Linked DNA regions of Pelodiscus sinensis. The protein of the gene in region 2 interacts with the protein of the main gene of each other region in a biochemical or structural test. Links are inferred from orthologs where the notes say so. Each region holds a gene or a part of one and is shown on either strand. Other genes may lie near its edges.

What was found. The genes of interacting proteins can lie anywhere in the genome.
Region 1: the proteins of OXSR1 (region 2) and WNK4 are reported together in a solved structure, tested with the Homo sapiens proteins (2 studies listed by BioGRID and IntAct, with this or other methods). The link is inferred for Pelodiscus sinensis from reciprocal best matches to the Homo sapiens genes OXSR1 and WNK4.

Annotation. Positions count from the first base shown.
Region 1 is NC_134739.1:8,658,815-8,666,250, forward strand, and holds the start of WNK4 (serine/threonine-protein kinase WNK4), read right to left. Parts: upstream 3,088-7,436; 5' UTR 2,632-3,087; coding exon 2,119-2,631; intron 1-2,118. UniProt on the Homo sapiens protein: Serine/threonine-protein kinase component of the WNK4-SPAK/OSR1 kinase cascade, which acts as a key regulator of ion transport in the distal nephron and blood pressure.
Region 2 is NC_134712.1:247,504,625-247,511,962, forward strand, and holds the start of OXSR1 (serine/threonine-protein kinase OSR1), read right to left. Parts: upstream 3,057-7,338; 5' UTR 2,920-3,056; coding exon 2,850-2,919; intron 1-2,849. UniProt on the Homo sapiens protein: Effector serine/threonine-protein kinase component of the WNK-SPAK/OSR1 kinase cascade, which is involved in various processes, such as ion transport, response to hypertonic stress and blood pressure.

The DNA of each region.
Region 1 (7,436 bases), on a different chromosome or scaffold from region 2:
AACTCGCGGCTGCGCCAGCCGCCCCAAGGACAAGACGGTGGTCAGAGAGGTTGGACGGCAGCCGAAGCCCAGAGCGGGAGAACTCCCATCCAGCCCTGCAGCAGGAAGGAGGAAGGGGGCTAGAGAAACCGCCCCCCCCACACACTCAGCACAAGCGCCCCAGTGTCTACACCCCCCTCTCTAACCCCAGCAAAGGGAGGGGGGCAGCGGAGGAGGAAGGGGTGGGAGAGCTGAGAGGAGAGCAGACAGCGCCAGGTCCGGGGGCGGTAAAACAGCTCCTGCATCCAGCCCTGGAGGGCACCACGGTTTCTGTCAGCGTCACGCAACCCCCCACAGCCCATACGTCCCGACCAACAAATATCTGTTGATTAACCCACAGGCACTCCTAGCCTACGGTCAGGAGCCCTGGAGTCCCAAAGGGGGGCTGGCGCTGTGGCCCCAATGGAGGGGGAGGGCTGGCGCCGTGGCCCCGAAGGGAGGGGAGGGCTGGCGCCGTGGCCCCGAAGGGGGAGGGGAGGGCGTGGCTGGTGCCGTGGCCCCGAAGGGGGAGGGAGGGCTGGCGCCGTGGCCCCGAAGGGAGGGGAGGGGAGGGCGTGGCTGGCGCTGTGGCCCCAAAGGGGGAGGGGAGGGCGTGGCTGGTGCCGTGGCCCCAAAGGGGGAGGGGAGGGCGTGGCTGGTGCCGTGGCCCTTCTCTACACTTCAAAAGCTCCTTGAACACGTGCCAGCGGTGCCCTAAACCAGAAACTGAAGGAACCAGCTGCCCACAAAGTGGCAATGGGGGCACGGCTGGCATCTGAAGCAGCCCCTCTGCTGGGCGGGCAGCCGGTGCAGAAGACTGCTTGGCACTTCACCTGCACCCCTGGCACCCAAGGCCCCATACGCAGCTTGCAGCTCCTTGGGGCAGGGATCGGCAGGGGCGGGGCTGGCTCGCTGCCATCACCAAGGGATGCGAGGCTACGGTGGACGTGGGGAGCCCAGAGCCGCACGAAGCTGGGAGCCGTTCCCACCAGGGCCCACCACGGCAGAACTACCACACACCCGAGCTGCCTGCGCATGGCACTTGTGGATCTGAGCCAGGCCAGGGAGCAGGAAAGGGCCGGCGTTGCCTGGCTGCTGCAGTCCATCTGCAGAAATGGCACCGCTGGGAATAGCCGTGAATTAGAGTAATTCAGTATCTGTGGCGGCAGCTGCCAGCTCAGGCGCCTACGTAACAGACACCACCCTGCGCTGCACAGGTCCGGCGTGCCAGCCACAGGAGGCCACAAGCATGGGAGGGGAGGACCTGGGGCCGCAGGAGCCAGCGATAACAGAACTGAACCCACGTGGCTCTATGCCTCCTGCTTCAGTGGGAGGCAGCAGCAGGAGCGGGTAGGGGAGGCCCAAGGAATAAGAGGCTGAAGCCAACAGAGGGGGCAGGGGAAGCGCCACACACTGCCTCTCAGATGCCAGGTGGGGGCATGTCTTGAACTCAGCTTTGGGGGGGGGGGGCAGGAGAGCCCCATCTGACCCACGGCTCAGTCCCAGGCCCATCAAGGGGGCGCTTGCCAGTCACACCCCCCCCCCCACCTTTCTCCAGTCCCTCTGGTGAAAGGAGCCACGGACCTGGCCTCCTGCAGGAAAGCTGGCCCAGCCCCACGGCCTGCCCCAGCCCTGCCAACCCCCGGGGCAAAGCCAAAGTAGGGAGCCAGACCCATCTGACTGGCCAAGCTCTGTCCCATCTGCACAGGCCCAATTCCTCCCCACGCCGACCGGCCCAGTCATCCAGCACCCGGCACTGTGGGGACTCCCCTGCAGCCCTCCTCCTCGATCCACCCTCCAAGGGAAGCGGAGGGCTGCCCTGTTCCCAGGCAGTGTGGGGTTAACCCGAAGCAGAGCCCCCCGGATCTGGGAACCTGGGGGGTCGTGTGGGGCAGCTTGGCTGGAGGTGCCGCACCAGGGGGCAAGAGACTGGGATGCGCCTGCCTCTTAGAGGCTGTGCAGCCAAGGGATCACTGCCCCAGCCCACCTGCGGGCACAGGTGCGGGATCGAGGGGTGGTCTCCCGCATGGGGGGGGGTCACAGTTTGGGTCAATAGCTCCCACCCCCGCATTGCTCCCCGCCACGCCCCCGGCCACCCACCTGCAGCTCGCACCAGGCCACCTCCACGGTGGTCTCGGTGTCCAGCCCCTTGTAGACGGTCTTGAAGGAGCCGCGGCCGATCTCGATGTCGAACTTGAGGAAGCGGCCGTCCGGGGAGGTGGCCACGGCGCGGGTCTCGATCTCCTCGTTCTCGTCCTGCGCCCGGCGGCTCTCGTCCGGGGAGGCGCCGCGCGGGGAGCCCCGGCCGGGGGGCGGCGAGGGCGTCTCGCTGCCGGAGCGCGCCGCGGGCTCCGCGCCTTGGCGAGCCCGGGGGTCCCCCCGCGCGTCCTCCGGGCCCGGCCCCCGCCGCTCCAGCTCGGCCGAGCTCCGCCGGCTGAACTTGTAGGAGCCGCGGCGGCTCTCGCGGCCCGCCAGCCTGCGCCCCCGGCTGCGGAGCGGGGCTGCCCGGCCGGGGGTCCCCGGTTCCAGGGCGATGCCGCAGCCGGACAGATCCACCTCGGGCTGGGACATGGCTGCGGCCGCGGGGGGCCCGGCCACGTGGAGCATCAGCATGGGGGGGGGGGGTGAGGGGCTCCCCGCGCCGCTTCGCACCTGGGGGGCGCAGCCGGACTGGGACGGGAGCCGCGGTGCGTGCGGCGCCAGCCCGGAGCCGAGCTCCGCCCGCCCGGCACCGCCCCCGGCCCGCCCCCAGCGCTGGAGAGCGGGGTCCCGCAGCCGCCTGGCCTGCGCAGCCCGGGGAGCAGCCCCCGGAGCGCCCCGCCACCAGGAGGTGTTGGAGAGGCTGGGACAGCGCGGAGCCCCCCTCGCTGCGGGAGCGACCCTACAATAACAAGGCGGGGCGACCAAGCCGCCTGGCCTCTGTGCCCCGCTCCGAGCCGCGCTGCCCTGGGGCCTCTGGAGCGGGTTGTGGTGGCCACAGGAGGAGTCCTCCTGCCCAAACCAGCTCCTCCATTGTGCAGCCCCAAGTGGGCTCCGGAGGGGGGGGGGCGCGGAGAAAGCCCCAAAGAAACAACCCTCCTTGCAGATAGACCCAGGCTGGGCTAGGAGCACGAGGGCATTAAGACCCCTGGGGAGACTGCGGGCTAATGAGCCCTGTGGGCCAGGTGCCTCCTGCCTGCAGCTCAAAGACAGACCCACGTCATGGGAAGGTGTTAGCCCAGGGTGCCCAACTAATGCCCAAGTCCTTCTGTCCTGTCCATGTTGCTTTGGGAAAGGCAGGAGCCTGGCTTAAAGTGGGGGTAGACTGAGGGGGCTCAGGGTTCTGTTCCTGGCACTGCTGCTTTGCCGAACCCTTGCCTCTCTCTGGACCTCCGTTTCCCCATCTGCCCAATGGGCTTGTGCTGCTGACCCCCTTCACAAAGCGCTTTGAGATCTCGGGAGGTTAAATGTGGTTGCTATTCTTAGAGAGGCCCACTGCTCTGTCCTGCTAGCGGGTCGGGGGGGGACCTCGACCACGACCAGGGCCGCTGACCCACAGAAAAATCAGTCGGGGGCTGCACACAAGTGAGAAGCAAAAAAACCCAAACCAAACCCTCACTGTCGTGGCCCCCGACTGAGAAGGAGAAAGACCCTCCCCACTTTCCCCTCAAAACCCAGAGAGCGGGGGGGGGGAGCACCAGCTCCCCAATGCTAGGGTGGAGCCTTAAGCCTCAGGGGCTGGATTCAAGCAAGCTGGGGGCTGCATCCAGCCCCTGGGCCTTAGGTCCCCCACCCCCGCGCTTTGGCATGCGTTCCTATGAGCAACACAGAACCACCTGCTGTCCAGGGCTCCTTCCTCAGCTGTCTGTTCTGCAGCGCACTCGGGGAGGCCGTTCCTGCTGGCGGAGACTCCTGATCCAGCCACCCCCACACCAAGGAAGCGCCCTCTAAAACGCTGATGCGGCAAGGAAACAGGAGAATTAACCCATCTGAGTCCCCATTGGTCACGTCTTCCCTCACTTGGCTGCGCGTTATTCTGCTGAGGTGGTAACTCTCCAGTGCTCAGGGACGTGAGTAGGGAGAGCCAGGCAGGTGTTGTCACTGCCCCGTGCTCAGAACCTGGGCCAGATTTCGGGGCAGGCTGCTGCCTGGGGTGCCGGCCGTGGGGGGCACCAGGCTCGGAGGGCTGGTTTTAGACAAAAGAGAACAGAATCTTGGAAGTAAAATGTTCCAGGCATTTGTGAGTGGATTCTTTTTTCGTTAAACTCCTAGAATGTTCCGGCCCTTTGTAGAATCGTGTGGAACCTTCCAGACTTTCCGAGAACCACATTTTCCTCAAACTTCCAAGAACGTGTCAGCCAGGCCCTTGCAGGTATTTCAGGGGCGGCCCGTCACCTGTCAGTCAGGGAGATATAAGAATGAAGTGAAAGCCCAGGTGCCATATTGTGATCAAGGATGGGGAACATATGGCCCAGGGGCCGGATTCGGCCCCCGGCTTGCCTGGATCCGGCCCTCGAGGCCCTCCCTCCCGCCCAGGGTCCACACTCCAAACCTGTTTCCCAGCAGCCTCCTCCCACATACTGCACTCCTCATTTTCTGGCCCCACCCTAGAGGCTAGAGGACCCCACAAAATCTACTGGCTCAGCCCCTCCCCCCCATGCTCTGGTAACATGGGGAGTGTCTTTCTGCTTCTCACATCAGTGACTTTTTTTTTTTTTTTTGCTTCTCACTTTTGTGTGGGCCCCGACTGGTTTTTCTGTGGGACAGTGGCTGCCGACCCAAAAAAGGTTCCCCACCCCCGATTTACTGTGTAATTGTGTTTTAAGATGTGAAGAGTGTAATTAGCACCAGATAAAGGACAGATTGAATGAGAAAGATAAGGGTTCAATAGATATTTTTCCTATGCTACAATATAAAAGAAAGACTGTTATTTCCTTTGCCAGGCTTATCATGTAATGTTTGATGACTTACTAAGGCTGGAGGACAAGGACTTTTGCTCTCCCTAACACTGGCTGTTTTCCACTGAAGAAAATAAAAGATTCCCCGGAAGAGAAGGAAGCAAAAAGCACAGTTGCAATCTAGTTTTCAGCAAGGGGCAAATCTGATGGGAAAATAGCAGAAACAGGACGACACAGACTGGGCTTACTTTCGGCTGTTGGGGTTGTCCGAGTGCAGAGAAATCGAGGAGTGACATATAAATGAGGGGAGTCCTATGACTATAAAATTAGAAGATGTACTTGAAGAGAAGGAAGGAAAATGTGAGGAAAGCGATGGAGAATCGTCCAGGTTTCTTGGCGGTACGAAGGAGCGTGGTGATACAGGAGAATATGAAAAGGGGAGTCGTGGCAAAATATAACCTGGCTTATGTGAACAGGAGAGAAACGGTTAGGAAGAATCGACCTCGTGTGATGACAGAAACAGCTGTGACTGCCATCCCCTCGCCCTAGATGTGTCAGACGCAGCATCGTCGTCTTTAGAATCAGGCTCTTTTCGGACTGCTGCAAAGGAGGTACGCCCTGTTTTTGGCATCCGCAATCAGGTGGAAAAAAGGCAATGTTACAAATTGGACTGTGACACCACTAGGCAGGGGTGACGGTGGATGCTGGGACATACCGGTGTGTCCTGTACTGCTTCGGGTGTCCTTGGCCAGCAGCTCTGGGCCCCCAGAAGGGACCTGGCCTCAGCCAGAAGGAGTGAGGCAGGGGGCAGACTGCCCCAACTAGTCCTTCATGGCTGCTGTGTCCGCAGCCTGGAGCCCTGGGACTCTTGATGGCAATCTGAAGGACCCAGGCCCTAATAAACTGCTGGCCCCTGAGGCAGCCCCCCTCTGCCAGCGGCGTTTAGTATCAGCCGTACACAGACCTGTATGGTGGCCGGGTCTTAGTGCGCCGAACCATCCTGCACCAGCCACTTTTCACCTCTGCCACTAAGTGACACACACTGGGAGAGCAGCATCAAGGCCGGCGGGAACCAAGCGACTGAGGTTTATGACGCCCTCGTGAACTGGCGCAGCCAAGTAAAGCCAAGGCCAGAATCCAAGACGAGGCACAAAGCCTGGCAAAGCAGATCCCTGGCTTCAAATTTCTGGTCTCAGCTGTGGTTTGGCATGTTCTCCTGTTCCAAGTACACGTTACACACAAGGCATGACAGACTCGGTGAATGGACATCGCGACTGCTACTACGTTGAGGAGAAGCTGCCTTGATTGCCAGAGAAGACCAGGGTTCAAAAAAAATCTAGACAGAGGTCTATAAAATCATGACCGGTGTGGAAAAAGTGAACAAGGAAAAGTTATATACTTATTCCTACAATATAAGAACCAGGGGTCACCAAATGAAATTCATAGGCAGCAGGTTTAAAACAAACAAAAGGAAGTTTTTCTTCACTCAGCGCACAGTCAACCTGTGGAACTCCTTGCCAGAGGATGTGGTGAAGGCTAGATCTTTAACAGGGTTCAAAAAAATGCTAGATAGATTCATGGAGGTTAGGTCCATCAGTGGCTATTAGCCAGAATGGGTAGGAATGGTGTCCCTAGCTTCTATTTGTTTAGAAATGGATGACAGGAGAGGAATCACATGAGGATTACCTGTTGTGATCCCTCCCTCTGGGGCATCTGGCATTGGCCTCTGTCAGCAGACAGGATACTGGGCTAGATGGACCTTTGGTCTGACTCACTCTGGCCATTCTTATCTTCTCTTATGATTTCATTGTTGCCTACAGAGACAACAGACTTGAAGATACTATCAACACTGCAGCTAAAGAAATGTGGGGAAACTGAGGATTTAAGCCCATCTTCAAGGAAATTCATATTAATCGGAAGAAGTTTGGTTAGGAGGGCAGAGATGAGGTGATGGGAAGCTTGGAAGAAAATTCAAGAGGGAGTTTTATTGCTCACTCATAAACAGGGCTTGACAAACGGCAGCGAAAGCCACTCGCCAACCCCGCACTGCGCATGTGCAAGAGCTGCATTGTGCATGTGCACGCCACCGGTAAACGGGGCGCCGGGCTGAAATCTACTCGCCACGGGCGAGTAGATTCAATAGTTTGTTGAGCCCTGCTCATAGACACTGCTTGATTAGCCATCAAAGAAACATTTGGACAAATGAAGCACCATCAAAAGACTGTAGGGGAAGAGGGAGGATGGTTGTGTGACCGTAGTAAGCTGCCAGCGGACAGGAAAATCTCTTGAACAATTGTGTGGACCTTCACCAGACACATGGGGAACGTTCGGCCATCAATGCTAAAGACCTTTCTGTTGAATTGGACAACATCTGTCACATTTTGCCACATGGAAAGCACTCTGCATGCCAAGCTCTCCCATTCATCCATGACACAGAGCTGAAGGGGTCACCGAATGACATTAACAGGTAGCAAGTTTAAAACAAACAAGAGGAAATTTTTCTTCACACAACACACAGTCAACCTGTGGAACTCCCTGCCA
Region 2 (7,338 bases):
ATGTGTTAGATACTCAGTGTGCAGAGATACAGCCTTAGCACTAGTGTACTGACAAAGTTATTAAAAAGAAAGATTGAGAGAATCAGGACAGAGAAATCTACCACACCAATGAAATTTAAGTCAACAGAGACTCCGTCATTCATAAGAGCAATGGCTGTTCTCTGAAGCTGAAAAAAAGAATGAATGAAAAAGACTTCAACTATATAAAGACGCAACCATAGCAAAATCCCTCCTCTTCTAAACAGAGGCATATACAGTGCCTTGAAATTAATAATCACCATATGAATGGACTCTCCCTTCTGACTGAATAAAGCTTGGAGCAGCTGCTCTATAAAGGAAACTGTCTTCCTTGGATTCTGGAATATAAACTGCCCTTCATTATTTATCAACATCCAAAACCCCTCAATAAACACCTTATCACTTCATCCTTCCTACCAACCAAGACAGCCCATGCATCAAAAGGTACAAAAGGTACTCCTCCTCCAAAACCCAAAGTGGGCAGGCAACCACCCATAGCAAATATCTCCAATTCGAAAACAAAGACAGCCCAAAAATGAGAAAAATATAGAGAACTCTTTCCCAAATGACTCAACTAGTGAAATCCACTGACTCAGTGAAGGGGGCAGGGGAAGCCACTGGACCATAGGCTACAATACACAACTCCAGAGGAAAAAAATACAGAGTTCCCTAGAGACACTTCCAGAAACATACACTCTAATTATTTTGAGATCCAATAGGCACTGGAGCGAGTGTATAGTGACTTCCCTTCCCTTTTCAGTTATAAGAGAGAGACACTTCAGAAATCCTAGCACTCCCAGAAGCAGAAACTGACAGCCCCACAGGGCTCCAGAGTTGCCAGGCCCACCCCACCCCGGAAATCTTACACTTGCCCAGGTCCTAGGAGCATACATACAGTTCTCAAGGCATCTGCAGACCTGATGAGACGGGCACTCCCAGGTCCCAAAACACTCACAAAAGAACTGGAGTAAGAGCCCAGTCCCCCTTTGCCCTCCTATTTCCTGAGCTGGAACAAAGCCCCTCCATTGCAAGCACGGCCCTAAACCCCAAGATCCCCCAGCCCGAGAGCAGGAATCCAGCCCACAGAAACTGACTCGGAAGGGAGACAACGGGAGAGCCACACCCCCTCGCGGCCGTCCACCTCCGGAGTAGGAACCGAGCCAGCACGTCTCCAGGTTAAGGCCAGGAACACACAGCCCTGCCTCGCCCCTCCCCCCCCCCCAGGGCTGGGCAGATGCCCCGGCGACAACTCCTACCCCCAGGAGCCAGGTCCCATCTCCAGGGACAAGGCAGACACACCCCCACGCTAGGGCCGGGAAGAACGGGGCCCCTAACCCCCAGCACAGACACGCACGCACCTCGGAGCGACCCCCCAGGAGCCAGGCCCGGTCTCCAGGGTCAAGGCAGGCAGGCAGGCAGACACACACGCTGGGCCGTAGCCCGCTGCTACCTGGCACGACACCCCCCTCCACACACACACCTCGGGCCCTTCTTCCCAGGAGCCAGCCCCAGTCTCCGGAGCCAGAGCAGACACCCTCACACACATACGTTGGGCCCGAACCCTTGTTCCCCGACTCCGGTACCGGCAGACACACACCCCCCCCCGGACCCGGGCCCTCTGATTCCCGTACGGACAGACACGCCCCCCCCCGGACCCGGGCCCTCTGATTCCCGTACGGACAGACACGCCCCCCCGGACCCGGCCTCTCGCCCCCTGACTCCCGTACGGACAGACACGCCCCCCCCCCCCCCCCGGACCCGGGCCCTCTGATTCCCGTACGGACAGACACGCCCCCCCCCCCCGGACCCGGGCCCTCTGATTCCCGTACGGACAGACACGCCCCCCCCCCCCCGGACCCGGGCCCTCTGATTCCCGTACGGACAGACACGCCCCCCCCCCCCCCACTCCGGGCCCCCTGACTCCCGTACGGACAGACACGCCCCCCCCCCCGGACCCGGCCTCTCGCCCCCTGACTCCCGTACGGGCAGCGACCCCCCCCCCACCCCGGGCCCCCTGACTCCCGTACGGACAGACACGCCCCCCCCCCGACCCGGCCTCTCGCCCCCTGACTCCCGTACGGGCAGCGACCCCCACCCCACCCCACCCCACGCCCCCTGACTCCCGTACGGGCAGCGACCCCCCCCCCACCCCACCCCGGGCCCCCTGACTCCCGTACGGGCAGCGACCCCCCCCCCACCCCGGGCCCCCTGACTCCCGTACGGGCAGCGACCCCCCCCCCCACCCCGGGCCCCCTGACTCCCGTACGGGCAGCGACCCCCCCCCACCCCGGGCCCCCTGACTCCCGTACGGGCAGCGACCCCCCCCCACCCCGGGCCCCCTGACTCCCGTACGGACAGACACGCCCCCCCCCGACCCGGCCTCTCGCCCCCTGACTCCCGTACGGGCAGCGACCCCCCCCCCCCCACCCCGGGCCCCCTGACTCCCGTACGGGCAGCGACCCCCCCCCACCCCGGGCCCCCTGACTCCCGTACGGGCAGCGACACCCCCCCCCCCCCACCCCGGACCTTCGTCCCTCGACTCCCGTATGGGAGGAGACACCCCCCACCCCGGGCCCTCGCCCTCTGACTCTGGCACGGGCGCAGACACCCACCCCGGACCTTCGTCTCCCATACGGGCAGACACCCCCCCCCGGTCGGGTACACACCCCCAGCAGCCAGGCCCGGTCTGGAGCAGACACCCCACCCGGCCCGCTGGCACAGCCCCGCTACGGCCACGGCGGCCAGCGCAGCCGCACCCCCACCCCAGCGCTCCCGCAGAGCCTCCCCCCGCCGCAGGGAGCGGGCAGCCCAGGCCCGCGCGCCCCACTCACCGATCACCTCCTGCAGCTCATAGTCATCCCTGTTGATGGACCAGGGCAGGGAGCTGGGGTCCTCGGCCATGGCGGCGCGTCCCCGGGGCAGCGAGCTGGGCAGCGGGGAAGGACCGAGAGAGGCGCGCCGCCCGAAAGCCGCCCCTGCCTGAGCCCTCGCCGCGCCGCCTCCCCTCTCGCCTCCCCATTGGCTGGGCGGTCAGCGGTGGGGGCGTGGTTACAGAACGGCGAGGGGCCGGGCGTCCCAGTCACGCTGGGCGGGGCCTAGTCGAAACCATTAAAAAAAAAAAGAAAGCCCGTAGAAAAGGCAGCCCGTAACGTTCTGCAAAAAAAAAAAAACCCTACGCTGCTATGGAAACCACTTCTCCACCCCCCCTTCCCCACTAAGATGGGGCCTCCCACCACCAGCGTACAGCGACGCGGGATGACGTCACCCGCAAACGCCTGTCGACGCCATCTTGAAGAAGGTGTAGTTCATCCGCCATATTGAGTGAGGCGCTTGCCAGCCGTCTCTCGCCTCCCCAGGATTTCAATCACCTCCCATCGCTATCATCATATGAACGACTGCTTATAGCTAGGCATCCCGAGGACGATAAGGACTTGAAGAGCTAGAAGCGGGTTGAGAGCATGCCACATACAAGATGGCGGCCGTTCGCCTCCTCAGGGAGGTGCAGAAAAGGACTTCCCCCACGTCTCTATGACCGCTGTGGATTGGTTCTCAGCTCCTGCAGCGATTGGCTGAAAGGCTGTCAATAGCTTGAAGCCCCGCCCCTGCTAATATGTGTGCCTTGGGTGGGGAGAAGAAAGGATCAGGGCAGTGCTGTGTTGAGCTGTGTGGGGCCTGTGCCCAGTGTACCAGGCAGAGCCCATCTTGGGGGGAATGGCTATGGGGAATGCGGCTCTGAGGCGCATGGCTTCATCATGCAGAAGGGCCGGTGAGTGCATCGCCACCTAGCCCTGGTCATGCCACCCGTCCTGTATGTCCAGGGGAGTTCGATTTTACTGTGATGATCCCAGCTGCTTGAGGCAATCCTCTGGGATTGGAACTCCTTGCCGGAGGATGCGGTGAAGGCTAGAACTTTAACAATGTTCAAAAAAGAGCGAGATAGATTCATGGCGGTTAGGTCCATCAATGGCTATTAGCCAGGATGGGTAGGAATGGCGTCCCTAGTCTCTGTTTCTCTGGAAGTGGGTGACGGGAGGGATCACATGAGGATTACCTGTTGTGAGCCCTCCCTCTGGGGCATCTGGTATTGGCCACTGTCCGCAAACGCAATACTGGGCTAGATGGAAGTTTGGTCTGACCCAGTATGGCCGTTCTTATGTACAGTTATTTAAATTTAGGGAGCGGTTATGATGGGTTTCAGCTGGGGCAGAACAAAGTTCACTCTTTCCTGTCTTAGTTCTCCTCGCTGCCACAGGCTTCTAAATACTTACCCCTTCCTAATTTCAATACAGAGTAACATAACCCGACTTTCTGATTTAAGTATCAGGTCAAATGAAGTATTCTGACTGATTACTAACCATGATAAAATCCTGGAAGCATTTTCTGGGTTTCTCAGCAAGACGTAGCCCCTTCAGTTATGACATTCTTCATATTCAGGGTGAGATATCAAGAAGACTAAGTGTTCCATTAGCCCTCTCCAAACAAGGTGCCATACACCCCCATCTATTAAAATCAATTGAGAGGCATTGGAGAATGTCAATCATTTTCTTTACCTTGGAAGTTATCTTTCATCCAAGGTAGAGATGTTAAGTATCAGTTCATTAACTAATCAAGTAGTTGATGCGGGGAGGGGGGAGGGGGGAGGTTAGATTATAAGCGGGGTTAGCTCCCAGAGGTAGCTCTGCACTTTAAGGCTGTGTCTACATTGACATGATTTTACACAAAAGCATGCTGCCTGTCTACACTGGTGGGGAGTTCTTGCGCAAGAACACTGACGTTCTAATGTGTGAAATCAGTGCTTCTTGCGCAAGAACTATGATGCTCCTGCTCAGGAAAAAGCCCTCTTGCGCAACTGTTCTTGCGCAAGAGGCCAGTGTAGACAGGCAACATGAATTTCTTGCACAAGAAAGCCCGATGGCTAAAATGGCCATTGGAGCTTTCTTGCGCAAGAGAGCGTCTACACTGGAACGGATGCTTTTGCACAAAAACACATCTCTTGCACAAAAGCACATGCCAGTGTATATGCTCTCTTGTGCAAATACTTTAACGCAAAACCTCTTATATTAAAAGTATTTGCGCAAAATCTTGCCAGTGTAGACGTAGCCAAAATGTAATAACATTATTTACTACATTTAAAGTGCAGAGCTGCAGCAGGATTAGCTCCCAGGGGCTGTGTGAACCGGGACCAAAAAGTCCCATCTCGTGCCGCCTATGGGACTGCTGCAGCTCTGCTTCCCCTGCGCTCCCTGTACTACGGAGACAGTGCTGGGGGAACCAACTTTTAAGCCGGCTCCACCCAGCACTGGCTCCTACTCCCCCAGCCTTCCTGCCTCTGATACAGAGACAGCAAAAGGGAGAGAAGCTACTAGCTGAGTAATCACTCGACTAATCGCTTACATCCTTAGTTCAAGGCAGATATTGATGTAGAAATCCAACATCGGCTGAGCTGTGCCACTTCAGCCTTTGCTTGGTTACAGCACAGGGTTTTTGAAGATCACAACATTTGAACAATCATGAACCTTCTTGTCTATCAAGCCGTCATTCTTCCAATGCTGTTGTATGGATCTGAAACCTGAACAACCTACAAACATTATTTGAAAGTCATTGAGAAGTACTACCCACCCTGCCTCCTCGAGATCTAGAAGATCAAATGGGAAGACAAGCACACTCACATTAATGTTCTGAAAGAGGTAAAGACCACCAGTATGGAGGCAATGATCATCCGTCAGCAACTTTGCTGGACTGGTCACGTTGTTCAGATGCCAGACCATCGTCTCCCAAAACAAGTCCTGTTTTCTCAGCTGAAAGAAGGGTACTGTAACATGAGAGGACAGCAGAAGCATTATAAGGACTTGCTAAATGATAACTTTTAAAGAAGAGCAACATGCACAGCTGGGAGACATCCATCCAGGATCACTCAAAATGGAGAGAAGTTCTCTGTGATGGCCCCTGCTTTTTGAATTAGCCTGCCAACATGCTCAAAAGGAGAAAAGGCGCAGGAGGAAGGGGAGACTAGTTTCTAGTCATGGTCAGCAGCCTCCTGCTGTACCTGGAAACATCTGTCCTCATTGTAATAAAACATGGTTCAAGGATCAGCCTTATCAGCCATTTGAGGGAGTACAGCTCCCATGGAAGATGATCATACTTGGCAAAGAGTAATCGCCCATCAGATCTGACTTTGTAGGAATGCCCAAAGGCAGGATAGGGGAATAACTGTGCTAGGTACTCTACAGAGAGTGGGAAAACTGTTTCTAGAGTGTTGGCTATCTCAGGCCCTGTGTGTGAAACTGCACTGCACAGAGGTGCACAGCTAAGCCTATATGGAGCTTCACTGATGGATGTGTGTGGCAGAAGTAGGGCCTAAGGGAGGGGGACAGGGTAACTCAGAAGGAATGGAGCGATGAAGAGGATAATAATATTAACATAAATTTACATAGACTATACAGACAAGGTGAGTGAGGTAATATCTTTGATCAGCTTCTGCTGGTGAGAGACAAGCTTTCAAGCTGCACAGATATTTCAGATCATACACTAATTATGCACTCAGCTAGACACTTTCAAGACAGTTTTTAAATAGATAAAATAGTTAGTGCCAGGGATAACTCTAATCAGCTGGGATATTTGGCAAAATCTGTGGAATTTCTATGTTGGGTTTTATTTTTGCCTTCCAGTTTACCTGCAGAGGTGACTGGAGAGAAGGGATTGGGGGGTAGGAAGCCACCAGCCATGTAACACCCCTCTTCTGCCCCAAGCCCTGCCTTGTCCTCTGTCCTCCCCAGGTTGCCAGGTGTCCGGTATTCAACCAGACTGTCCGGTTTTTGGGCCCTCTGTCCGGTAAAAAAATTCAGAAAATACCAGACATGGGCAATGTCCAGTATTTTCTAGTTTTCCAGCTGGGCACCCGAGGGAAGCCTGGCGGGGGCAGGGGCAGGGACTGGGAGGCAGGGCGCAATCGGCGCTGGGAGCCTCTGGTTGCTTGTGATGCCTTGGGGAGGAGGGGAAGCCCTGTATGTGCTCCTGAGTGCTGTTCCAGTTCGTTGTGGAGCTGTACCCGGACTCACTCGTGCTTCACCGGGACCATGCATGGGACAGCCAGTGCCCTGGGATCTGCACGTGCCCGGGTCAGTCCTGCTCCCTGCCGTCCGATTCGCTCCCCCTTTCTCCTTCCCTCCGCTCTCCCTGACCCCCTCTCCAGGCCGGTTCTCCCCCACTTCTCCCAATCTTCCCCGGCCAGCCCTGATGCCCCCACCAGCCTTGCTTCCGGCGGCCAGTTCTCCCCTCCTCCTCCCGATCTCCCCCAGCCAACTCTCCCTCCATCCCCCG